Linked DNA regions of Arabidopsis thaliana. The protein of the gene in region 2 interacts with the protein of the main gene of each other region in a biochemical or structural test. Each region holds a gene or a part of one and is shown on either strand. Other genes may lie near its edges. The genes, in order: SDG4 and AMS.

The links.
Region 1: the proteins of AMS (region 2) and SDG4 form a complex in vitro, tested with the Arabidopsis thaliana proteins (one study listed by BioGRID).

What each region holds. Positions count from the first base shown.
Region 1 is NC_003075.7:15,022,825-15,028,389, reverse strand, and holds SDG4 (SET domain group 4), read right to left. Parts: upstream 3,947-5,565; 5' UTR 3,845-3,946; coding exon 3,491-3,844; intron 3,181-3,490; coding exon 3,034-3,180; intron 2,784-3,033; coding exon 2,619-2,783; intron 2,508-2,618; coding exon 2,481-2,507; intron 2,305-2,480; coding exon 2,190-2,304; intron 2,091-2,189; coding exon 1,997-2,090; intron 1,911-1,996; coding exon 1,817-1,910; intron 1,731-1,816; coding exon 1,652-1,730; intron 1,564-1,651; coding exon 1,392-1,563; intron 1,307-1,391; coding exon 1,226-1,306; intron 1,129-1,225; coding exon 963-1,128; 3' UTR 718-962; downstream 1-717. UniProt on the Arabidopsis thaliana protein: Histone methyltransferase. Involved in stamen development.
Region 2 is NC_003071.7:7,329,541-7,334,754, forward strand, and holds AMS (basic helix-loop-helix (bHLH) DNA-binding superfamily protein), read left to right. Parts: upstream 1-2,180; coding exon 2,181-2,281; intron 2,282-2,396; coding exon 2,397-2,564; intron 2,565-2,651; coding exon 2,652-2,724; intron 2,725-2,811; coding exon 2,812-2,880; intron 2,881-2,957; coding exon 2,958-3,572; intron 3,573-3,656; coding exon 3,657-3,911; intron 3,912-3,944; exon of another isoform or gene 3,945-4,014; coding exon 4,015-4,191; exon of another isoform or gene 4,192-4,270; intron 4,271-4,279; coding exon 4,280-4,537; 3' UTR 4,538-4,714; downstream 4,715-5,214. Other genes in the region: UBC23 (ubiquitin-conjugating enzyme 23), read right to left, coding at 5,019-5,214. UniProt on the Arabidopsis thaliana protein: Transcription factor. Plays a crucial role in tapetum development. Required for male fertility and pollen differentiation, especially during the post-meiotic transcriptional regulation of microspore development within the developing anther.

The DNA.
Region 1 (5,565 bases), on a different chromosome or scaffold from region 2:
CCTTCTCTTGCCGAAGAGTAAGTCTCCGTTTCATACGGAGACTTCTGGTTTAAATCATATCAATTTGGAACAAATCTTTTAAACCAGTACAATAATTAGTATTCGACTTTGAAACATGTCATTCACTTGGTTCGTTAAAGACTTTTGATGAAAAATTTATGTTCGATAATTAGGATAGCTACCATGTAGTTGTCACAATTTGTCACTTGGTTCATCTTTGGGTTTTACTATTTTGTTGTTTACTTATCTATCAATAATACATTAATTTCATATTTTCATCAAACAACAAAGTCGAGAAACTTCAACAACAACAAAGACGTATCCCGAAACCTGATCCTCGCACCATTGAGGTACATATCGAATTCATGGAGTCTTATGAGTCTTTCTACCCACATTCCACGATGATCCGTAACGTCGTGATCTGCAACCCGACCTTGTATTCTCTGTAACTTTTGTATTTTCTGTAATAAAAACAAAAAAAGGGGACTAGGCCGACCCTTAATCAACTGGTCGTGATCTGAAACTCGATCACCTGATGAGCTCAAGGCAGAGCGAAACCAGTCACATGATGAAACTTGATACTTAGATTGCTATAGCGATTTTGTAATATGATTGTAGTCTTTATATAATTTGTTTTCTTCTGTTTGGTTATATCAAAAAATTTGTTCTGTCGAATTTTCTGCCATGATAGTGCGAGATCTTTAGATAGTTTTTTTTAAGGGAATGTATTTTCTTAAATCAGATTCAAATTTGACAAGGGTTAAATAATAATTGTGTTGTAATGGAACTGAAAGAATGTATGGTATAACCGACCGGTCTATCCCGTGGCTTCAGCTAGCAGTTATACAATTGTGGGCCTAAGCTTCGGTTACAAGCACGATTGGTTCTATATCTCCACAGAGATTACTAGATAACGACAACAGACAAACTATCAAAGCACATTGTTTATAGATATTTTGCAGCTAATCTTGCTGCGGTTTACGGGCTATAGGTCGGTGAAACAATCTTCTGCGTTTTGCTCCCCAAGATACAACCAAACAGTTTGGTTCTTTCCTCTTTGTCCCAAGATAACCTTGACAGTTTTCAGAACCACAATTGCACTTTACTTCAGGACCAAACTGCACAAATCTGCCATTACACAAAGAGAGAAGCTAATATATCAGAATCTCAGATTACTTAGGCTAATTATAAGCACATAAAAGAAACAAATGGTCAAGAACTTGACCTGTAGTCATATGTAAGTGGCTCTCCTGCTTCTATTTGACGAGCTGCAAAGACACCCACACGGGTCTCACCTTCAACTTGCCTGTTAGAACAAAATAATCAAACTGACTCATGCTCTCTTACTCGAGCATCATCGACATATTTATATGAAATAATATATGCTTTACCACTTTTCCAATACACAGTTTGGGTTGCAACTGTGGTTCAGAAACCGAGAGGCGTTCCCTTTGAAGGTAGCATCAATCGTGAAGTCTTTTTGAATCTCACACATGTAAAAGTCTTTCATGCCTTTGTGTTTCATATCCCAAAGCCTTTGCTCACATTGAGCATCACTAATCACTGTGGATAGAGTGAAAACAAATCACTAAAAACTCTGTCGCTTTCCACCACAAACATAAGGCTCAAAGACCAAATCAAGATAGTTTACCTTCACCAATGTATTCGACAATGAAGTCCTCTTTGTTGATTGATTCTGCTGCCTCAACTCCCCAACCGCAATGTTCAGTCTGTAAAACCAATAACATGACATGTCAAGATAAAAAAACACAAGAAGAGTGTAATGCAAGAATCATAAACTAGAGACTAGTTTTACCTTAACAATTTTGATCTTTTTCTCTTTGCGGAATGGTCTGTTTCCACAACTTTCAGGACAGCTGCATCCCTTTGAACAGCTTATGCATTGAACCCTGAGAGAAATTTTTCAAAACGGAAACTATTCAAAACGAAATGAATGTTAACAGAGAAAATTTGTTTGGTTAATTAACAAATATACCTGCAAACACAGCTTCTATCGCAATTAGGGCCACAATTTGTGCACCCAACACCATCATTAGCATTATCACGCTTTTTCTTAACGAGGTAAATATCTTAACTCAGTCAAGGAAAAGACACACTAATGTTGTGAAAAAATGAGAATTATGTACTTTTAAGGCAGAAATATTGAATGTGGAAACTATAAAGGATACTGCGTCTAATGTGCACATAAGAAGGCGGATCTTCCTTCACAACAGAATCTTTCCATGCTAAGTCAATCTTAAACTCCTCTTCCACATATGGCAAAGGCAACTGGCAAAAGACTTCCTGAATAAGAAAGTAGATAAACATTCAGTGCCTAGCTCTTGAAATTGTGTAAGATAAAAACAAAATATCCAGCTTTCAAATCTCTTCCCTCTTTTTGATTTTCGAGCGGCAAGTCTATGTAAGAATTAGTTTCCTTTACTACAGTCACATTTGGCACGTGGCAAAGAAACACTGACCTCAATCTCACTCTGTGCAACTGCATGCTGCTCAATCAACAGAGATTTTGTCAGTCCTGTGAGTAAAACTCTATGAAAGTACAAATCGTAAGAAGCTTCAAGAAGTATCTTATGAAAGCGGTAAACTAAAAAATCAACCTTTGTGTCTAGCCGCCAATCAGTTGGATGCCTCCAACAAACTGCTCTTCCTGGTTGGTCTTTTAAGTGAAGTATTTCTTTTGACCATGGAGAATGTTTATCATGAGCAGCCATTGGACACTTAACACACCGCCATTGTGTTCTTTGCTTGCAGACAAAGCACTCCTGCATACTCCATTCTATCAGAAACTGAATGATACCACACAATCAAAATAATCCATTTCAATTCCCTACCTAAACACTATTACTTAGAACTAACTGTTAAGTATATCCTATTTGATGGCCTATCGTCTCTCTGAGCATTTCTACCAAAAATAAGAGCAACAAAATATGATTTGCTTCATTGAATACAAAGCCAGCCAATAAAAATGAAGAGAAATCTTCCTTAGTTCTAAACAATAAATGAGGATCTTACATGTTGAGGGCATTTAAATTTGCTTGACTTAGAAAAACCAAGACTTTCTTTCGCACAAAGCGAGTGATAAGCGCCTTGGCAGCCGCGAACAGAACACGATAAGTCTTCCCCCGGGTACACCGGCTTATGGCAAACAAGACAATCAACCTGACACCAAATCCCATATAGTCATTATGTCAATAAATCTAATAACTTAGTCACTAATTGACTTGAAGATTCGAATGACTTTAAAAGTAAACTAGTAGTCAAACAATATCTAAATGAATATGAGATCTTACACGGACATCACTAAAGCCAAAAAAAGGTGATGAATTCAATTCACAGATGCAATATACTTCAAACAAACTTCATAACTCAAGATATTATGTATATCCTAAAATCCAAATCCCATGTAGTCTATATGTCAATAAATCTAAAAACTTCACAAGTCATTAATTTGACATAACAAACAACATACCATTTTCTTGGCACCAACAAGAAAAGGAAGGAAACATGTCGACTCTGAAACACCAGAAGCCACTCTTCTCTTGACCCAATCCTTCACATGATCATCCAAGACAAACCCTTTCTTGACTCTGTCAGACGGATTCTGTTTCCGGGTAAAAGCAGTGACTCCATTAGCAATTTTAATGTCCTTGACCTCTTCCTCCGGTGGAATCATTGGTAAATGTTTCCCATTGCATTCTCCGGCTAGATTTTCCGGGGAATTGATAGATTTGGCTAATTCAGGGCCTGAAGCCGCCGGAAGAAAAGAAGGGCAACAAGTGAGAGCAACAGATGCAGACATAGACATGTTTCCCAGATCTAACATCCTAAACTCGAAAGTACAAAAGATGGAAGAGTAAGAAGAAGAAGACAGTTACGTTTTGTCTTTGTTGGGTAGGCGAAAAGCGAAGAGACATGAAAAAATATGGAGGGAATTTAAGGCGGGAGATTTGTCCTAAAATATTATACAAAAAGGTCCTTGTATTTTAAATATTGTTTTAATTGCCCCCAAACATTTTTTCTGCTAGTTAAATTTCTTTACCAACTAAAATCCCCCACATTCATATCTACCAATAACAGTGCTACACGCAATGATTAATGCCGGTTCCCAAAACGGAACTGAACAAATAGCTAAAATTAATCAAATCATGATTTGAAAGTATATCGTATTGATCAGTGTTCGGTTTGTTAGTTATAAACAAGATATTTCGTTTTCGTTTTTGGATATGTTTACATGTCATTTTAGGTTCGTTATGTCACAACTTAAATCAAATTATATGCTTTCTAGGTATGTTTTAATTAATTACTCTCTTTTTTTTATCATACATCTTTACAGACTCACGAAAAATGATCTATGATTTCATCTAGTGAAAGATAAATGGATTAATCAGTTTGTATAACATCTTAATTTCGTTTTTTTTTTTCATTTCGTTAGTGTCTATTGTCTAAATTTCGATAATTCAGTTTTCATTTGATTACTATACTCAAACAAAATACCTAGCGTAAATTGCTTTGTTAGACCATATTTAGCAACAAAATCTAATAAAGTATTGATCTTTGAGTCTAGGTTTCCACAGTTCACCACGCAATACTCACCTTTCTTTATACACTTTACAAAGATAATGAGTAATCGTTAAATAATCCAAAGAATTTACTCATCCATGTACACATAGTTTATACTTAATCCTCTTAGCAAGAAATTATGGCGTCTAAGAATCGATTTAGATGAAAAACGGACCAACTAAGCAAACTAGAATATATGTTCACTTCACGACAACTTTGTATATAATTATACACAAAACAATATACATTCATTTTGTATGATATACAACAAATCTTTTGAAAATACTACACTCTTTTCTTTAATGTATTTTTAGGCTAATGTTGAAATATTCTTGTATTTATATTATGAAATTTGAATTAGACCGGATCAAACCGGATCCACGTTATCTTGATTTTAAAATGAAGAACTCCAAATAAATCTAGATTACAAACTGATTATCATTTGCTAAAAAGATCCTAAAGGTTATCATTTGAGATTCAGCAGGCGAACAACAAAAATTATTACTATATTCGTACGGTTCCATTCGATTTTTGTTCACTCATTTGTTGTTACTACACTTTACTACTCAAAATTTGTTACCCTCGTTTAGTCCGATTCGATGGTTCCTCATCGTTCATTGCGGTGAATTACTATGAAAGTACAAATTAAAAATAATCTGAAACATTGATGATAACAATGTAGCAATGTAGTCGTAACATGCCAACATCGAATTCTGGGCCAACTATATTTTGCTTTGGTAAGCGAACCATTCATTCAGTTTTTAATTATTATATCCAATTGTTTGACGCGTTTTAAATAAATCAATAACATAATCCATGTTCATACCAATTAAATATAGATATGTATGTACGTGTTGTCTTGTCTTATGAATCAACCCTCCTTGGAGAATCTTATGCCATAAAGCCAATAAAAAGTTACCTACTCTTTCAATTTACCTCGTTCGTTTAATCTGTTTTGATCAACACTCCCCATATTATCAAATC
Region 2 (5,214 bases):
GAACGGAATGACACTTGGACTAAATTTTTTAATATGTATATTTTTCTTTCTTAAATCAAAAACTTTACAAACCAATAATTAATGTTTTAATAAAAATTGTTAATGACACAAGCTGCGATTTGAGCTGAGCTAATAAGTTAAAATCATATTTTTCTATCATACCATTATAACATATGCTTAAATATATTCTCAACATATTTTTTTGCCATCCTTAACACTTAAACTTCCAAATGATATAAAATTGATATTTTATTGAATATTATAATACACATGTTCTTTAAGAAAAAAAAGATATCAAAATTACCAACAAAGCTTATAATTAAAAATTGTACTAGCTGAGTCATAAAATTCTTTATTTTAGTTCTGTTTTCCAACTATTTATACCGTAAATATGTCAGAAGAAAATCATATAAAAAATTTGGAGTGGTGTTGTAACAATACTAAACTTTAGGATGTAACTGGTATGTAATCTACTATCTTTTCCAACCAATCGAGTTTGAAGAGGTAGAAACCCACCCTAAAACTCACAATTCATAGATAGTATAATTCTAATAATATAATCTATTTTCTTCTTCTATTATGAAAAGTGATTTATATCACTTCTCCTATTATTAGATTTGTAGTTATAAAAAAAAAAATATTGGTTCCACAATAAGTAATTCTACCTGCAACATACTTTTTTTTAACCAATATATACCTTTCATTAAACAAGAAACCGAATACAAAGTCCTGCCTCCTATAATGAATAACACCTACAACATAACAAGCAAACAGAGCACATTATGAATTACAAAGAGCAAAGCAAGTTGCTAGAAATGAGATTCCATGGAGGCCTAATCTTTGAGCTCTTGACAAAGGATCTAAATGACACCGAATGATGTTTTTAATCTCCATAACGAGATTGTGTAGCAGAGAGTGTCTTTCTTTACAGATGATATACATAGAGGCTTGGTAAGCAAGTCGAATTTACTAATCAACAACAACAACATACTAATCAAATATCCTAAAATGTGTTTATTACTTATTAAAAATTTGATTCTTCCGGAATCGAATTTAAAATCCATCATACAAGCATTAAACTCTTGATCAATGTGCATGGGTAGATCTATGCAAAGCACATAATATAACTATTGAAGACTGAAGAGGAACATGCGTGTAGATATGTATTCAGATGAAGAAACTTACGTCCGACTATGGGAGTGGTTTGTTACGTAATCATGAATTTCAGCTTCATGAAAGGTGGACAGTTGGGTCTATGGATATTTATTAGGAGACAAAGCTAGCTCAGCTTTTGCTAGTTGCTACGCATAACAATATTTATTTGTCGTTTATTCTCAACTCAAATATTTGCATATGTCTTCACACAATTATTTCTGTAAATTTTTATCACTCTATAACATATTTTACGTCGGAACTAAAGAATCAAGGAAAACTAAAATCGAATAATAAGAAAATGACAAAGAAGGGAAAATAAATAGTAGTTGAGACACCGAAAGAAGAATGAATAACCTAAACGCAACGAAGAGAAGCTCTCAACAAAGTTAGTTAGGGTTTTACACGTTATCTTAGCTCATGCAATCTGCCCCTTTCATCATTCTAATTCTTTTTATAATATATACTTTTTATACTAATGTGTTTAGTTACATTCCACATATATTATACAAAAAATATAAAAGTAAATACATACATATACATGATCGTCATGCATGTCCTGCACTTAACCTACCAAAAACAATCTCTCCTAATAAGAGAGAAGAAAGAAAAAAAATTATAACTCAGATATTTTCACACATATATAAATAAAGTTTTGTGGTGACGTTATTTTACACGAAAAAGCTCAACCTTGTATGGAAGTAATTAGCTGCTACCTATTACTGATTATTCTTCTTCTTCTTCTTTCTTCCAATTTCTTGTCTTCTTTTGGTACAATTTCTTGGCTTTCTCTTGTCAAGTTTTCACCAGTCACAAGATTTTTGAGGAGCCTTGTTTTTTCCGAGAATCTTGTGTAAGTTCTTGTTGGCATATTTTCCTCATGATATTTTAGCTCTATCATCATGAAAAATTATACATTTTGTCCCCTCTAGTTATTGTTTCTAATCTCTTTTTTTTGTTACTAACAAATCCATTAAATATTGACGCAATAGATTTGTGCTTTTGTCAGTAATCATATTGAGAGATTAATGGAGAGTAATATGCAAAACTTGTTGGAGAAATTGAGGCCTCTTGTGGGTGCAAGGGCTTGGGATTATTGTGTTCTTTGGAGACTAAACGAAGACCAAAGGTTGATTTGATTCTTTTAATAAGTAGTTAAGCTTTAAAGAGTTTTTATCTCTATCTATCCATCTTTCTTTCTCTTTCGTCACAAATATTTGTTATTGTGGTTTTGGAGGAGACAGGTTTGTGAAGTGGATGGGATGTTGTTGTGGTGGGACAGAACTCATAGCGGAGAATGGAACAGAAGAGTTTAGCTACGGAGGTTGTAGGGATGTTATGTTTCATCATCCTCGGACCAAATCTTGTGAATTTCTTTCCCATCTTCCAGCTTCCATACCTCTTGATTCCGGGTATGATCATCTATAATATATATACAAGCTACATATATTCTTTCATAAGAAACGCCTAGAGATGGAAAAATATGGATTTTGCTATAGGATATATGCGGAGACTCTTCTGACTAACCAGACTGGTTGGTTGAGTGAGAGCTCAGAACCAAGTTTTATGCAGGTACTATTACCCGATTCTTGGAGTTTTGAGTAATCACAATCTCATGAACAAGAAGTATTAATTTTCGGTTTTTCTTATATCCTGTAGGAAACAATCTGTACTAGGGTTTTGATTCCTATACCGGGAGGACTAGTGGAGCTCTTTGCGACCAGACATGTATGTTTATGTCTCAATAATGTTAAGTTTATGGTTTTTTGTATTGTGGTTGTTTGTGATGATGTGTGCGCGTATAGGTCGCTGAAGATCAGAACGTGGTGGATTTTGTAATGGGACATTGCAACATGTTGATGGACGATTCTGTAACGATAAACATGATGGTAGCAGACGAGGTCGAATCGAAGCCGTACGGGATGTTATCCGGTGACATCCAGCAAAAGGGTTCCAAAGAAGAAGATATGATGAATCTCCCTTCGTCTTACGATATCTCTGCTGATCAGATCCGACTCAATTTCTTGCCTCAGATGAGTGATTACGAGACACAACACTTGAAGATGAAGAGTGATTATCATCATCAAGCCTTGGGGTATCTCCCAGAGAATGGTAACAAGGAAATGATGGGTATGAACCCATTTAACACGGTGGAAGAAGATGGGATTCCAGTGATTGGAGAGCCTAGCTTGCTTGTGAATGAACAGCAAGTTGTTAACGATAAGGATATGAATGAGAACGGTAGGGTGGATTCAGGGTCGGATTGCAGCGACCAGATTGATGATGAAGATGATCCAAAGTACAAGAAGAAGTCAGGAAAAGGATCTCAAGCCAAGAACCTGATGGCTGAGAGACGGAGGAGGAAGAAGCTAAACGATAGGCTTTATGCTCTCCGGTCGCTTGTTCCCAGGATAACCAAGGTATCTTGGTTTTCGTCTCTGGGTTTACTTCTTGGTTTCTGAGTTATAATGCGTTCTCTGAAACTAGTTTTTGTGGCATGGAAGTTGGACAGGGCGTCGATTCTTGGCGATGCAATCAACTACGTTAAGGAGTTGCAGAATGAGGCAAAGGAGCTTCAAGACGAGCTTGAAGAGAACTCAGAGACTGAGGATGGATCTAATAGGCCACAAGGAGGGATGAGCCTGAACGGGACAGTGGTCACTGGGTTTCACCCGGGGCTTTCATGTAACTCCAACGTTCCTAGCGTGAAGCAAGATGTTGATCTTGAGAATTCCAATGATAAAGGACAAGAAATGGAGGTTAGAGCATCATAACAAGAAACTAACTCTCACCTTTCTTCTAATCTGAACTCTAAAATCAAAACCTCATGATATCGGTTTATGTTGGGTTGCGGAGTTTCAGCCACAGGTGGACGTGGCTCAGTTAGATGGCAGAGAGTTTTTCGTAAAGGTGATTTGCGAATACAAACCAGGAGGCTTCACAAGGCTAATGGAGGCACTGGATTCTCTTGGACTAGAAGTCACAAATGCTAACACGACTCGCTACCTCAGCCTGGTCTCCAATGTCTTCAAAGTCGAGGTATGATCTAAAGGACCTGCGGAATGGAGAAACAAAAACCAAAGCAAAATATACAAAAACTATATGTTTCTGTTTTCCCATGTTACAGAAAAATGATAACGAGATGGTCCAAGCTGAACACGTAAGGAACTCGTTGCTGGAAATAACCCGGAACACATCTAGAGGATGGCAAGATGATCAGATGGCTACAGGCTCTATGCAAAACGAAAAGAACGAAGTTGATTATCAACACTATGATGATCACCAGCATCACAATGGTCATCATCACCCATTTGATCACCAGATGAATCAGAGCGCTCATCATCATCACCACCACCAACACATCAACCATTACCACAACCAATAAGGACCAATTCCCCAAAGCTATAAAGATGTCTGCTTTACAAGCAAAAGAAACATTCTGCATCAACAAACTTTGAAGATCTTTTCATTTCAAGATATATAAGGATAAAAGGAATGTCAGTTCGAGAACAGTTCCTGTATCCAATACCAGGAATAAACCAAAGCGAAACAACTTTACTTAAATAATCTTTGTTAGAAAAGTAATTTGACAACCCATGACAAAAGAAACAGGTGTTGAAGTGCACCCCTAAAACTTTTAAGTAGGCCCCAAAACATGACCAACCAAAACAAATTCATTTGTCGATATTGTTCGACCAGATGGGGTTACAACTTAGTATCGCTTAATTCTTGTATAACTCCAAAAAAACTCTACTACACACGTTTCAGAAATATCTGAATTTGAAACTTGTAATAGTAAAGAAGCCGCAAACCTTCACTTGGTTCATTGGCAACGATCGGTGTATCCAGCTCCTTTTAGGATTGTGTTATTGCTGCTGCAGATGCTGGAATTCATTGCAGTCAGCTCCTACCTCGCTCAGTGCTGAGAAAAGCTTTGGTGCTATCTTAGCCAGCATAAGCTTAAAACCAACTGAAGTTGAATTAGCGCTGCTGCGTTCATCGATAACCGAGGCATCTTTGGTGAGGGAACCTATGAGATATCCTTTCATGTAGGCGTCACAT